Pelodiscus sinensis: one gene and its partner. The protein of the gene in region 1 interacts with the protein of each later gene in a pairwise test. Links are inferred from orthologs where the notes say so. Each region holds a gene or a part of one and is shown in the gene's direction. Other genes may lie near its edges.

Region 1 (7,170 bases):
GTCTCAAAGCCCATCCCAAATTGCTAGCCGATGTCGGGCCTCTATGGGATGTAGGGCAATGTCACCAGCCTCCTTTTACAGAGGGGGAAACTGAGGCACAAAGGGACAGGACTGGCTCACAGTCACACAGCTGGTCTGAGATTGGATCCCAGAAGGAAACTGAGGCACACAAGGACAGGATGTGCTCATGGTCACACAGCGAGCCAGAGGTGAGACTGCATCCCAGAAGCCCCGAATCCCCAGTCCCTTGCTCTAACTACTAGACAACATTGCCTTCGTGTTGTAATTTAGCTCTCAACTGAACAGGAAAGGTGGTAGGGAGAGGCACTCATGGAAATTACAGGGAGGCCCGCAGACACTCCCTGTTGGGATGCTGGACCTGCCATCTTCTCAGCACTGAGCCACGCCGGTTACCCCTCCCCAGCCGAACCTGGAGCCAGACGATCCTCTGGTACACGTCCTGCCTCATGCTCATCTCCACATCGAACTCCGAGAGCTTTTTGTCCGCCTCCGTGCTCGCCGTGCGGATATCTTTGTGAGGGGAGACGTGCTGGGGGAAGTCCAGCATGTTCCTCTGAACTGCAACGACAAAGCCAGGAGCTCAGACTATAGCTGGAGCCGCCAGGTTAGGGAAGGAAGTAGGCGGCAGTTTCACAACCCGGAGCCTGACATGCACCCAATCGGCGGGGGCAAGGCAAGCCACTCCCACCGACATGCCCCACACCCAACCTGAAACAACCCTCTCTAGCACTGAGCTCCATCATCCACAGGTCCTGGAGTCAGATCTGCCGGTCAACTCTACACTGCAAGTTCTTGCTGCTCCGGATAGGATCTCACAACCCTACAGCTCTATTTAGCAATACCATTGATAACACCTGTCCCTTACAAAATGGCCTGAGACCAATGTTCCCTCTATAGTTTTGTTGACAAAAGTCCACTTTTGTCGACAAAACCCTGTAGTCTAGACACACTCCTAGTGATCAGACTGAGGAAAAGATACTGTTGTAGGATTTATGCACCACAGAAAACAGGTGTTACCCTCTGGGCCAGCTTCCTTTACAAACATGGTGTTACTTTTTCAGAGCATTTTAGCTGGAGTCGTAAAGAGAAATAAATTGTTTGCACAGGAAAAGGAACCAGACACACACATGCCTGCTCCTCCCACACCCGATCATAGAAGTTACAGCTGGAAAAGCCCAGACTGGTCATCAGTGTGCAAGCTGGGGAGAGGTTCAAATCTTGCCCAGCTCATTAGCAGGTTGCCCACAGCTAGGTTTGTGTTTCTATGGGGGGTACACATTCGCACACGCCCCAGCGTGCATAAAAATGTATTCCGCACATGGCTGGAAAAAAATGCACACGTGGCCGGAAAAGATTAGAGGGAATATTGCTCGTCACCCAGTCATCTCTCTGCCAACACATGGCTGATCCCTACAGCACATCGCCTAGCCTTTTGTCCAGATACTGAAGCAATTGGCAACTTCAACGTCTTAAATGTTGTTTTTTAAAATCACAACTAGCGGGGCTTCCAGCTTGGAAACCATCCCATTGCCGAAGTCACCAATGGGCCAATTTTTCCCGACATTCTTTGTTTCCCCATCCACAGACTGGGGGTGGTGGGAAACAAAGGAGGCAGATGCTTTGGGATCTAGTGATTCAAAGGAGCCCTTTAAATTGCTGCCTGGAGCCCCTTAAATCACCGTTTGGAGTACTGTGCTCTAGGCAGCTCTCAGGGCTGCCTGGGAGGTCGGGGCACCACAGAATCCAGGCAGTGCTGGGGAAATGGGGGGGGGGGGAGGAGCACTGTGGTCCAGGCAGCATGGAGGGCTGGCCGCCCCCAGCTCTGCCCCCTCCGTGTGAGGTCCTGCCCCTCCGGGGGCTTCCTGCCAGCCATCTTGCCCAGAGGCACTGAGCACAGCAGTTGGATCCCTGCCCATCCAATTTCATCCTATTTCTCCAAGTTACACGCTTGTGTAGAAACCCTACATTTCCTCCAGGTAAGACAGGCTAATGGAGTTACACAAGGAAAAGCCAATGATTCAGTTGACCAGAGACGCACACGATCTAAAAACCACTCAGCGACTAACAAAAGCTAGAAGGGTTCCAGAAACAGCCAAATCCTGTTTGTCCACATACCTGTATACTCCACTTCCACATCAGCTAGAATTTTGAGAGTATTTTCATAGGAGACCTCCCCCTGCTCCTGGGAGCCCACGTGGTCGTATACTTGCTTGGTCTTCTCTAGGAGCTCCACGGTCATGTTTTCTATTTGCTCTGCTGTCAGGTCCCATCTTAGCCGATTCACTGGGAGTCTGTGGGACTGGCTGTCCACAACGTTACCTGAATAGGTTGGAAAGAGATCCATCTCTCAGATATTGCCCTAGAAGAGGGTGGAGAACTAACTCACAGGGACTCAAGAGACAGGTACGGCAAATACCGCAGAGCTCAGAAGAGAACCTGATCTGTTTGAACCAAAGAGTAAAAAGAACAGTTGCAACACTTTATGCCTCCTATGTATGGCAACTCCTGGGTAAAACTTGATTCCTTAATTAGCTTGCCCTAGATCAGGTTTGCTATTGCAGAAGGGCTGGCAGAGATGTGTGGCAGAACCTTGCAACACTGGTTTCGGGGTGGGGGAAGTAACACACAAAGAACCCAGAGAACTGGTGCAGGAGGAGGCAGATGTTGGGAAGGCAACACTCAGCATAGGCTTAATGAGAAGACAAGTGACTGCAGCAGACCCAGCAGCAGAGCTGCCACCCTCCCGGTGCTGGGAGTAACTCCATGCTGGTGAGCTTTCTCTCTGAGACTCATTCCGGCTTGGCAGAGCTTTGCAAACCTGGGGAGGAACCTCTTCTTGCTTGTAGGGGGATATTTAAGGGTCATGCACCCTGCCCCCACCTTCCTATCCCCATTCCCCCAGTCATGCATCCTGCCCCACCTCCCCAAGCACTGTCTCCAACACACGTAAGAGTTACCTGCTCTCCCCACCCCTCCCTCCTCCTCCATCCCACACTGCCCCCCAACTCCACATCGTCTTCCCATGCCCCCGCCCTACTCCCCACTCTAGACTTTGCCCCCTTCCTAGATATCCCACCTCCCTATCCACTCACTGCCCCATCACCCCGCCCCCACTGCCACCCCCTAAATATACCCTCCCCCAGTACCCCTTCAGCCCTCCATTGCCATCCCCTAAATATCCCCTCCCCCCATCACCCCACCCCCACCCCCAAAATATCCCCTCCCCCCCACTGCCACCCCCAAAATATCCCCTCCCCCCATCACCCCACCCCCACCCCCAAAATATCCCCTCCCCCCCACTGCCACCCCCAAAATATCCCCTCCCCCCATCACCCCACCCCCACTGCCACCCCAAATATCCCCTCCCCCCATCACCCCACCCCCACCCCCAAAATATCCCCTCCCCCCATCACCCCACCCCCACTGCCACCCCCAAATATCCCCTCCCCGCCCCACACGCGCCAGCCGGGCGGTACCTGTGGGGGGCGCCATGGGGGGGCGGGAGGAGGCGCCGCAGCCACTGACGCTCAGCCCCGAGCACGCGGGCCGGGGGGGGCGGCGGGGAGGAGAGAAGGAGGCAGCGCGAAGGATTCTGGGAGGGTGGAGGACTGCGCGGGGCCAGCCGGGGGCGGGGGGAGCTGCCTTAGCGCCCCCTCCCGCGCTACGTCTCTATGGTCAATCGCGGGGAAGAGGGGCCCTGCCTGAGCGATCCCACAATGCATTGGTTCACCCGCCCCCATGGCGTATTTCCGCTTCCGTCTGGCGGGGGCGGAAGGGGAGGCCTGTTGCGCATGCTCGCTGGCTGGCATGGGCGGACCCGCTGCTGGGCGCGTGAGTCGCTGCGAGCGGCGGAAGTGTGGGGATGGAGGGCGGCGCCGCCGAAGCCTTGGCGCCTGCGCAGTAAGGGGGAGGGGCTAGCGCGCGTGCGCAGCGTGCGCCTGGCGGTGAAGGGGCTGAACGCAGCTCGGAGGCGCCTGGTGAGTAGCCGGGGCCCGCGGGGGGGCTCAGTCTCCGCCCCCCCCTTGTCTCTGGGGCGCTTGGCTGGGCCCTGGCCCGGGGGGCTGGGGGCCTGGCTGGGGGGAGGGGGGTTGGGGGCTGGCTGGGGGGAGGGGGGTTTGGGGGCTGGCGGGGGGTTGGGGGCTGGCTGGGGGGAGGGGGGTTTGGGGGCTGGCGGGGGGTTGGGGGCTGGCTGGGGGGGCGGGATTTGGGGGTTGGGGGCTGGCTGGGGGGGCTGGCTGGGGGCTGGGGGGGTTGGGGGCGTTGGGGGCTGGCTGGGGGGAGCGGGGTTTGGGGGCTGGCGGGGGGTTGGGGGCTGGCTGGGGGGGCGGGGTTTGGGGGCTGGGGGGGGTTGGGGGCTGGCTGGGGGGCGGGGTTTGGGGGCTGGGGGGGTTGGGGGCGGGGTTTGGGGGCTGGCTGGGGGGCGGGGTTTGGGGGCTGGCTGGGGGGCGGGGTTTGGGGGCTGGCTGGGGTTGGGGGCTGGCTGGGGGGCGGGGTTTGGGGGCTGGGGGGGGTTGGGGGCTGGCTGGGGGGCGGGGTTTGGGGGCTGGGGGGGGTTGGGGGCTGGCTGGGGGGCGGGGTTTGGGGGCTGGGGGGGCGGGGTTTGGGGGCTGGGGGGCAAGCAGGGGCTATGCTGATTGTTGAAACTGGCTTGGGGTGACTGTTTCCAATAAAAGCTCTTTCAGGAAGGTGGCTGCTGGCCTGGACTTTGCTTTATTTGGGGTTTAAATAGCAGCTGGCAGCTGGGTCTGTTAACTTGAAAGCAAAAGTGACGGTGGAAGGTCTGATGGGTTTTTCGTCTCCTGTCAAAAATGATGAGTGAGCTTTTCAGCTGGGGTGGGGAATCTCGTGCCTGGGGGCCGGAGGCAGCCTCCAGCTTGTTTGGATCCAACCCTCAGGGCTCCCCCCAACATTGGGGAACTCATGCTGGCACTGCAGCTCCCCCGCCATTGCCCTACAGGACTGGAGCACACAAAATCTGCTAGCCAGGCCCCCCTAAACTCTAGTGTGGGAGAGGAATGTGGGGAATGTCTTTCTCCTCAATCAATTTTTGTTTTTTGTTTTTTTCTTTGCTTTTCACTTGTGTGTGGCCCTCAACTGATTTTTCTGTGCATCAGCAGCCTCTGACCCGAAACAGGTTCCCCACACCTGTTTTAGCCATGTCTAAGCTAAGAGTGCCTTACTGGTGTATGGATACCGGTATACTATACCAGCAATGTGCTGCCAGTGTGATGCAGTTTATACTGGTCTAGCTTATTCCACTCACACTCGGACAAAACCGGTAAGCATGCAGTTACTTCAAGTATCTGCCTTAAGGGCTTCTTCCAGGACACTGGTTAGTCAAGGATCACACCTCTGTCTAACATGGCTATGCTGGCAGAAGCCTATAGTGTAGAGAGGGTCTCTGGGAAAAAAAGTATATCCTGCGGGAGTTTCTGGGCACTGGTGATAGCATTATATGTTCTCATAGTTCAGTAAAAGCAGGGGGGGCTATTCTGTATGAAAAAGCAGAAGTAGGATTTGAAACTTTCCTGAAGTTTAGTGTAAGGATGCAAAATCCTTTTTAATTCGTTAACCAGTTAAATGTTAAGCTTAACTGTTAACTGATTAAATGGGGGTGGGCGGGCTGGAGCGGCCCATGGGTAGGGGCTGTGTCAGGCTGGTTGCTTCCACCCCATGCTGGCCCCCGTGGGCTGGGAGCCGGCAGCCAGCCCTTCACCTGTGACAGGCCCTGGCCTGCTCCCAGGCAACAGATAACTGTTACCCAGAAAGCTTTGTCCATTAAGGTGGGCTTAAATTTGGGTTCCCCACTCCTGAGATCATGTAGTACTTATTGTTGCCATGCAGTGAAGTCTGAGAACCTCTGCTTTAGTTAACAAAGCTGATTTATTTAATGTCTCTGGATGTGCTATCATTTAATTCCATTCAGTGCGAGGCTGAGCAGACTTCCTCTGTGCTGAGGAGCAAGTAGACTTGCCAATGGGTATAAGTATCTTACTGATTGATTAAGTTATTCAATTATAGGTGGATTTCTACTTAAAATAGGTAAGGGTTAACGTTCATTGCCGGGGGGAGGGAAAGCACATGGGGAAACCTGTCCTGTTGCTGCACATGCTTTGTCTGTCTTTAGTGGATAGGGGACTTTGGTTGCTGGTAGGGATGTGAACAGGTAACTGGTGAACCAGTTCCCAGGGAGCAGCCCATGGGAGAAGGGCTGCTCCAGCCCCACCTGGCCCCAACGGGGGTGGGGTGGCAGGGACTGGGAGCAGGAGCCCTGCAGGCTGGAGGCTGCTTTAGCTGGGCTAGAGCGATTTCCCCCACCCAGGATCCTGCTTAGTTGGTTAAATGTTACGTTAACCGTTCCTGGTGTTAGTTGTCATTGACGGGTGTGACCCCAAGTCATGAGTTTGACATGAAACTTTCACCTATTTTCTTCCCACTTTGGAGATCAACTTGTCCCACTCTGCTCTGCTTGGTGCTTAGCAGGGTTACTTTTGCAGGTGACTGTTGTTTTTTTCTGGCATCTTATTTAAATTTAGACTCTGCAAAGTTAAATTGAATCTTTCTCTGCTCCCACGCTAACTGCCTGATCATCTGTGCAGAACTTCTTCTAACGCTGAACTAAGTCTTTTATTGTTAACCGGGTCGAGAAGTATAAGAGCCAGCGATATCCAGGGCATGGTGGGAAGTGTGATAGTGGACTGGCACATGACTCCCAGTGCGGTCTTCCTGAATTATTTCCAGCTCTGATATTAATGTTGGGCAAAGGATTCTGCCTCTTGCGCGCAGTTTCCCATCTCTGAAATGGTCGTATGTGTACCGAGCAGGGGTCGGGCTAGATTGTCAAGTGTCTTCTGCCTAGGCCACAGGTGGGCAATAATTTTTGATAGGGGAGGGGCACGCCATGATTTTGGTAAGTGGTCAAGGGCCGCACTTTTCTATGGAGTAAGTCTGGGGTGGAGGTTGGGTGCAGAAGGGAGCTCAGAGTAGGGATGTAAGCAACTAATCGACAAGCTTATGGTTATTGGATAGTTGATTAGTGATGTGACTAGTTGCTTCCCCCACTTGCTGCCTCTATCAGAGAGAGGCAGCAACTGAGGGGAGCAGGAGTCGGTGTTGTGGGGAGCCAGCTTAAAAGCTGGTTTCCCTCCC
Region 2 (7,941 bases), on another chromosome or scaffold:
ACCCTATGTGATCTCTGTCTGGTTTGTAATTATTTCTGTCTTCTGTATAATTAATTTTGCTAAGTGTAAGTCAATTAAGGTGGTGGGGTATGATTGGCTAGTAAAATTATACTAAAAAATTGGTTATGGAATAACTAAGCAGGACTCTGGTTTAATTATATTAACTGAGGTCCAAAAAGTAATAGAAGCAGGAGGAAAGAAGCAAGAGGTTGGAAGAAGACCAAAGGGAAACAAGAAACACCAAGAAGAAAGGGGAAGACCTGGAAGAACTACTCCCCTCCAAGACACAGCCTAAGAACAGAGCTGCCAGGCTTCTGCTGCACGACTGTAACATGCAGCAGCTAAGATGCAGAGAGACTGACCTTGCCTGGAGGAAGTCTGCCTGTACCAGGATTGCTTAGCATGTGTTTTCTGCTTGTTTGAGATTTGTCAATAAATAGAGGATAAGAATATTAGTGTGTGATGCTCTTTCATTGGCTAAAGATCCTGCCAACCCATGGGAAGTTACACCCTGAGCCCTAGGAATTGGGGAAGGGTGGGAGTATAGGGATAACATATTAAAGTATTAAAAATGATTCCCCCAAGTGGAAGTGACTCCCCATAATTTGTTCCCCACAACTTAAAGTCTAAGTAGCATAAGTTTGTTAAGTAGAAGCATATAAGTGTTTAGATTTATTCTTGTTAAAGTGTTTAGATTTAGCGTTATCAGGCTTGATGAGTGTTTAGATTTATTATTATTATTTGTTAAGATTGTTAAATGTTTAGATTTATTACTATGTAGCGAGAAACAGCTCCCCTCTGTGTCCCAGGGCATGCTCAAGCTTTTGCAAGGGGCTGCTTGAAATTGACATTGCAGGGATACATTGTAACAATGCATTGTCAAGCCACTAACTGCTCTGGGAGCCAAGCCCTGTAATTGACTAAGGGCATTGTTACACAATTGACGCCTGTTCTCTTCGAAGCATTGTGAAGCAATTAACCCTAATCGCAAAAGTGAAACATTGTTGTAACTATAACAGTAACTAACTCAGCACTCAGAGAGAATGTTTTAAGAAATGCCACCCAGAAGCTTTTGTGACTTTTTGTAACTACAACTCTTGCATATGTAAAATTATTATTATACAAAATACTGTATGTGAAACATTAATTAGGGAATGTATGTAAGAGAGAGTGTGCTTGGAGGATGAATGAATGGTTTTGAGAGGTGCCAGCCTGAGAATGCAGCAACAAAGGGCTGAAGAAGGCATCAGGTGCCAGTGCAACCAAAAGGTGTCAAGTGGAGAAAACCAAGTACTGGAGGTCCACCCTATGAGATCACTGACAAGCACCTGACAGCCACCCTGGACATCAGCATGATGCAGCAATTCCCATGGACTGGCATAGGAAGAAATTCCTATAAGAACTGGACTAAAAGACTATGGAGTCAGAGTCCAAAATTCTGCTGCCAGCCCACCAGGAGCTTCAGATGCACTTCTGATCAGGACTTCACTCCCCACTCCCATCACTTGTGTACAGAATACCTGGCCAGTATTCTGTCACAAGCAACTTCCAGGCTGGTAACTATAACCTGAATGAATGTTATATATATTATTATTATCATCTTTACAATAAATGTGGCTTTTTGCCTTATCCCTCCCCCCATAAGATCCTGCTTGCTTTTATTGGTACAACAGGGGTGTGTCCCTACAGTGTGGAAGGGATAGAGAAATGTATGCAGGTAACAGCCCCCCATCAAAGATGGAGGACCCATCTTGTCCTCCCTCATCCAGACCATCTGCCACCTGTCCAGCTGCAGGCACACAGCTCCCAGCCATGACAGACCCTTCCTTGGGAAGCCCTGCAGTCTTCCATTTCCTCATGGGGTAAACTCTCAGGAGCCAGGCCCCTGGATTCCTCAGCAGCCGTTTGGTCTCCAGGCTCTGTGTGAATGCTCTGCTCCAAGACATACACCTCTGTCACCTGGGGTTGGACCTGCATCCTGCTGTTCCCATGCCCTTCCTGGGCATACCACAGCCTGGGCAGACCCACTGACACTGGGCAATGACTCAGGGTTAGTGCAGGCTTCCTTCACCCCTCCCCGCAAATTGTCCAGCTCAGCTGGAGGAGAATCAAAGAGACTCTCTCTTGCCCCCTCCCCAGCCCCTGTGGCATTTATCTCTCCCTCTGGGATTTCAGCAACAGATTCCTTACCCCCAGCTAACAATCCCTGGAATGGACACAGCCACATTACAGCAGTCAGCACCCTGAATCAATGGTGCAAAGTACTCTGTGAGCTCTTCCTTCTCCGTCCATTCCAAGTCGTATTAGTTTTAGAGCTTCCTCATGGGCAGCTTGGGCTTTTATGGCTTCTATCTCATGCTGCTTTAACTCCACCAGTGTCTTGTGTTCCACCTCCCTGGCTGCTTCCCGGATTCTGTACAGTTCCCATTCCTTCTGCATCTCACTCTATTTCCCTTGCCCAAAATGAGCAAACAAAAAATAACAAACCAGCAACCACTTTGTCTGCCTTCCAATAACCACACTTAGAACCCACTTAAAATCACTACAAGCAACCAGATGTGCACACTTACCCTGCTTGTTGCGACACTGTCATGGGTGAGAATAATTCTAGGGCTTACCCCGGAGTACCCAGCTGTCAGGAGAAACAGGTAGTTGGTCCATAGGACAGAAAGCTAGGCAGAGTGCAAGTTCAGACCCATTTCCAAGGCACAGCTCAGCAGCATAGCTCTGCAAGGATAGCACAGCACTTAAATATGTCAAGTGGGTGGGCCTATGCATCTCTCTAGCCAATCGGAAGAGTTTAGTTTATTCACTGGCTTCCAGCCTCAAACTGTTACCCCAACTGGGGAAAAGAGATTTAAGAGCAGGCCTCCAAAATCGTAAGATTGTCTTTAAAAATTGATCTTCAGAATAGAATACAAGGACGATTTTTCTCTTGGCTGTCTAGCCTTTGGGGCTCCTGTTTATAGCCTCTTTCTCTGCAACCACAAGGAATAGAAACGTGCTATTTTGTAAATGAAAGCTGAAATTTTGGTGTATTCCCCTAACTTCTGTGCATAGGGCTTTTCATTCCCACTGCTGCAAGGCTCACAGTAAGTCACAAAAGTCAGCAATGGTCTGTCTCGGGAGAGGCAGGATAGTCTAATGCAGGGGTCTCCAACCTTTTTAAGCACGAGATCACTTTTTGAATTTAAGTGCAATCCAAGATCTACCTCAAATATAAATACCCTTGCCCTGCCTCCTTCATGCCCCTTCTCTGCGGCCCTGCGCCCCTGCTCACGCCATCCTCCCTCCCTCCCCGACCTTCCCTCACTTTTACCAGGTAGGGGCAGAAGGTCGGGGTGCAGACTCTGGTCTTGGTTTAAGGCAGAAGTTCTCAAATTTTGTGATGCCACAACCCCCCTTAAGTTGCTCGTGAACCCCTGGGGACTTGGGACCCACATTTTGAGAGCCCCTGGATTAAGGGATATAGAATGAGAGAGGCTCAGAGCTGAACTTGGGGCAGGCAGTTGGGATGCCGGAGGGAGTTCTAGGTGCAGTCTCTGGGAGGGTGTTTGGATGCAGGAGTGCTCAGGGCTAGGGCAGGGATTTGGGGTACAGGAGGGGGTTCATGACTGGGGTAGGGTTTCAGGAGGTGGGCACTAGCTGGGCACTCTTTACCTCAGGGGGCTTTTGGGTGGCAGTGCAGTGGGGCTAAGGCAGGCTCACCCCTGCCCTGGCCCTGCACTATTCCCAAAAGCAGCCAGCAAACTCGCTCCCAAGTCCTGTTGTGCCCCCCTCCATAAATCCAAGTCGGGAGACAGGAACCTACAACTTTGGAAGAACTGCAAGGAATGACAGCACAAGATTTGGTGGCACTAGATGGCTGAGCAGCCAAAGCCCCGGTGGACTTCTGGATACACTGCCTTCGCATTGGACACTGTCCAACCCTCTGACAGCGATTTCAGGGGGAAGGTGTGACAGACACCGCTCCATGCTTTACGAAATGGACTAATGGACATGAATATACATAACTCAAAGGTGCTTTGAACAAATTATTTCATGTAACCCAGTGATCTCCCCCGATGATCCAAAACACGTGGGGGTATAGCAGTGCCCCCCCCCCCAGAATGTAGATAGCACCGCCTATCCATATGCACGTCTTTGTATTTAGTCACCATTGCTGTGAGGCAGGGTGCCTCAGTTTCCCCTTCCAAACAGCCATGCAAGATAACTGTGCCTCTGCAGCTATGCCTAGCTCTAAGCCCATGCACAGTCAGTAGCTTAGAAGCTGCGTGATTCTGGGATCCTTTTACCCCTGTCCTGAGGCTAGACAGCAGGAGCAGCCCGTGGCTATTGGCGGACTTGGCCGCCACGTAGGGCGCCGTCGCCCAGGGCACCCGATGATGACATCACAGGGGTGCCCGCCGATGATGTCAGTCCATTGACGGCCCTGCAGGCGGGGGCACCAATCGTGCATTCCGCCTGAGGCGCCAGCTGCTGCAGCCGGCTTCAGGCCGCTCCTGCTAGACAGCCAAGAGAAAAATCACCCCTGTGTTCTATTCTGAAGCTCCCAGTTTTTAAGACAATCTTACGATTCTGGGGGCCTGCTCTTAAAACCCTTTTCCTCAGTTGAAGTAACAGTTTGAGGCTGCAAGCTAGTGAACAAACTAAACTCTTCCGATTGGCTAGAGAGATGCATAAGCCCGCCCACTTGCCATATTTAACTTCTGCGTTATCCTTGCAGAAGTATGCTGCTGAGCTGTTCCTTGGAGATGGGTCTGAACTCGCACGCTGCCTATCTTTCTGTCCCATGGACCAGCTACCTGTTTCTCCTGACAGCTGAATACTCCAGGGTGAACCCTACAATTATTCTCACAGGACCACAAGGTAGGAGCACCCCCGGCGGGTTGTCTGTGACTGCACCCCATCACATTCTCTTTTTTGATCAGTTTCTTAATTTTCACAGAGGCTTCTTCTCTTTCTCGACCTTAACATGGTTTTTTATTTCAGCTCCTTTTCAAGCGACACAAATAAAATTTAAGACGGCTGCTAATGCCCAGTCCCTGGGGAGACGCTGTAGCAGACGCTGTAGCAGACACTGTTCCTGCAGCAACACACATACTGAGCAGCTGAAATGCCTTGTAAAACAGTTAGCTTTCTGTTTGTTAGAGTTACCTGGCCTGCTTCTCTGTGCTAGTTTGGCGCTATGCAGAACATTTACTCCTCCATTCTCCTTGAGCAGGATCTGAGCCCCGAAGGCAAGAAAAAACCCTTAATACAAAGGAGCCGTGTTGCAGAGGAGGAAGCGTATGCAATGTTTCGGTGGAGCCCATGTGACTGTATAGAGCAGATTAGCTTTTACGGTGTCCCTTTCTGCCACACCCCCAGCTGCCTGGTTAACTTTGTATAGGAAGGCATTCACAGAAGGTGTGACAGCATTTCGGACTGATACATTATTCCACGCTATTTGCCTGAACCACACAGACAGCTGGGCTGGAAAGCTCTTGTCAGCCTGTGTGACAAGTAGCTTCTCTGTACAGGATACTTTTTCCCCTTTGTTGCGGGCACATTCGCCCCCAGCTCTGGCTTAGCTTGGCTGCTGTTCTTCGGCCGTGCAGCTCGGAAGCAGATGTTGAGGGCATTGGGGGAGGGCACCGAGACAGGGGAATATTCAGGCCTCAGAAACCTTTACATGGTTTTTTATTTCAGCCCCTTTTCAAGTTGCAAGGGTTTTCCACCTCCCTCCAAAGCCTCAAGCTGAAGCGAGGCTCAGGTGGTTCATGGGTGACCGGTGCGGTGAACTTCCTCTAGCGCAGATACAGGAAGTTGTAGAATTCTGGAGTGTTGCCAAATAGCCTCTCACTCAGAGATTTCGAACACCTTGTCACTCCCAGGCCCCCCCCCCCATTGAGTGCAGAAGGAAGTGTCTTCAGGCGGTCTCTTGCTTTGCTTGCACAGAACTGAAGGCTACTCTGCCAGGCTATGCTTTAGGGTTAGGAACATTTGGCTCCCACACTGAGCTCCGGCGTATCAAATCAGACCTGGCTTTACCGCAGGGTAGGAGAGTAAGAGACCAGTGTGACTTCAGGCTGTGTGTGCAGAGGAGGGAGGAGGGAGGCACCTCGTCCACCACTCTGGAGGTGGCTGCACCTGGAGCCTGGCATTTCGGTCTGCGTGCTTCCAAGGCAGGGGCAGTCTGGAGAGAAAGCAAAGGGAAGCGATGCAAAGGGTGCACAATGGGGTTGGTCCTGCTTTGGGCTGGGGGCTGGACTCATGATTTCCAGAGGTCTCTTCCAGCCCTAGGCTCCTATGATTCTAAAGGCTGGCAAGCAAGCCTGCTGTTGGGTACCAGAGGCTTGGGGCCATGCTGCCTGTCTTCCCAGTGCTGGGGCTGGTGGATCAGCTGCGAGGAGGGGAGTTGTTTCCTGGTCAGGGATCTGGCCAGCATGCCCGGCCCAGGGAGGCTGGTGCTGCACCTTCCAGTTCTGGCTCTCCACTCTGGCGCTCCAGGGCCAGGGGAAGCTGGGGCCACACTGCCCACCAAAGCTCTGGGGTCAGGGCAGGCTGCAGTCATGGCACATGCTGGCTTTCCAGAGCCCCAAGGCAGGCTCCAGTTATGCTGCTCACCAGAGCACCAGGTAGGGTTGCCAACCGGGCCAGACAGAGCCATGGGCGAGCCGGGCAGCTGCCCAGGGTGCCAACCCACGGGGGGGGGCACCTGATGGCAGCTGTAAGGGGCGCGCGGTGTCCCTTGCAGCTGCCATCAGGAGCCGCGCGCCCGGCTCCTGCAGCGCCGGCCCCGCAGCGCCGGACAGCAGTGCCCTTGCCTCTACAGCTGCGGGGCCATGCATGGCCCGGCACGTGCGCTAGCAGCACTGGCTGGGCCGGGCTCGGCAGCACATGCGCCGTGCGCCCCGGGGGCGGGCCCGTGCATGCTGGGGGACGGGGACGGGCTCACACCTCACGGGTGGGCCTGCGCATGTGCCCTGCACCCGGGGGCCGGCCCTGGTTGCCAAGAGTCTGGTTTTGAACAGGACAGTCCAGTATTTGAGGGTTCTGTCCAGGAAACAAATTGAGAAAATACCAGACATAAAATGAGGCTGCAGCAGGCCAAATGCTCAACCTTGCCTGGGGACTCAGCTGTGCCCACCAGATATGCCTGGATTTGCATTGTCCAAGCACATGGACTAAGGGCATAAAACAGAACACAGTGGCTCCATGCTGTGTATAAGAAGCTGGATATGAGTCAACAACAGTGGGCCCTTATAGCCAAGAAGGCTTACGGCATATTAGGGTGCATTAGGAAGAATATTGCCAGTAGATCTAGGGAAGTGATTGTTCCCCTTTATTCGGCTCTGGTGAGGCCACATCTGGAGTGTTACAGCCAGTTCTGGAGCCCCCATTATAGTAAGGATGTGGACACATTCTTCCTTTTCTAATAAGGAAAGTGTGGGAGTTCACCTATAATGATGGGAGAACCTCTCACAGCCCTGATCTTGGCTGAAAATGTCCAATGCTCATGATAATGCATGGTTCTGCCACATATTTTCCCCCAGATCACGAAAATAACTAATCTCTCTGTGGTGTCTATAAACTAGGGGTGAGCGTAACAATTCTACCACCCGAGTGTTGTGAAGCTCAGGAATCCATGTATAAATCTTGTAACAAAGGGAAAAGTATTCTGTATTTTTTTAGCTTGTCTGTCTAGCAATGACCATCAGAGGTCAGCATGCCCTCAAGGGTCAATTTGCTCTACATCCATAAGTTCCATTGTGTTCAGTTTACATCTATTTTTACTGAAAATGCCCTGGATTTTACAAACAGCATTATTCTTTTTTTTCTGACTCCCACTCTACTTTTTATCATTCCAATAGATAAAAACTTGTTTTATTAGAAAAACACAATATATTGCATTATCAATGTATATTATGATCAGACATTAGTGGGTGTATATATGCA

The links. The genes of interacting proteins can lie anywhere in the genome.
Region 2: the proteins of SGTA (region 1) and F11R interact in binary tests that used the Homo sapiens proteins (3 or more experiments, as listed by UniProt). The two-hybrid records come from large-scale screens. The link is inferred for Pelodiscus sinensis from reciprocal best matches to the Homo sapiens genes SGTA and F11R.

The regions. Positions count from the first base shown.
Region 1 is NC_134729.1:17,550,537-17,557,706, forward strand, and holds the start of SGTA (small glutamine-rich tetratricopeptide repeat-containing protein alpha), read left to right. Parts: upstream 1-3,841; 5' UTR 3,842-3,998; intron 3,999-7,170. Other genes in the region: THOP1 (thimet oligopeptidase), read right to left, coding at 431-579, 2,137-2,365. UniProt on the Homo sapiens protein: Co-chaperone that binds misfolded and hydrophobic patches-containing client proteins in the cytosol. Mediates their targeting to the endoplasmic reticulum but also regulates their sorting to the proteasome when targeting fails.
Region 2 is NC_134734.1:14,059,591-14,067,531, forward strand, and holds the start of F11R (junctional adhesion molecule A), read left to right. Parts: upstream 1-4,740; 5' UTR 4,741-4,754; coding exon 4,755-4,869; intron 4,870-7,941. UniProt on the Homo sapiens protein: Seems to play a role in epithelial tight junction formation. Appears early in primordial forms of cell junctions and recruits PARD3.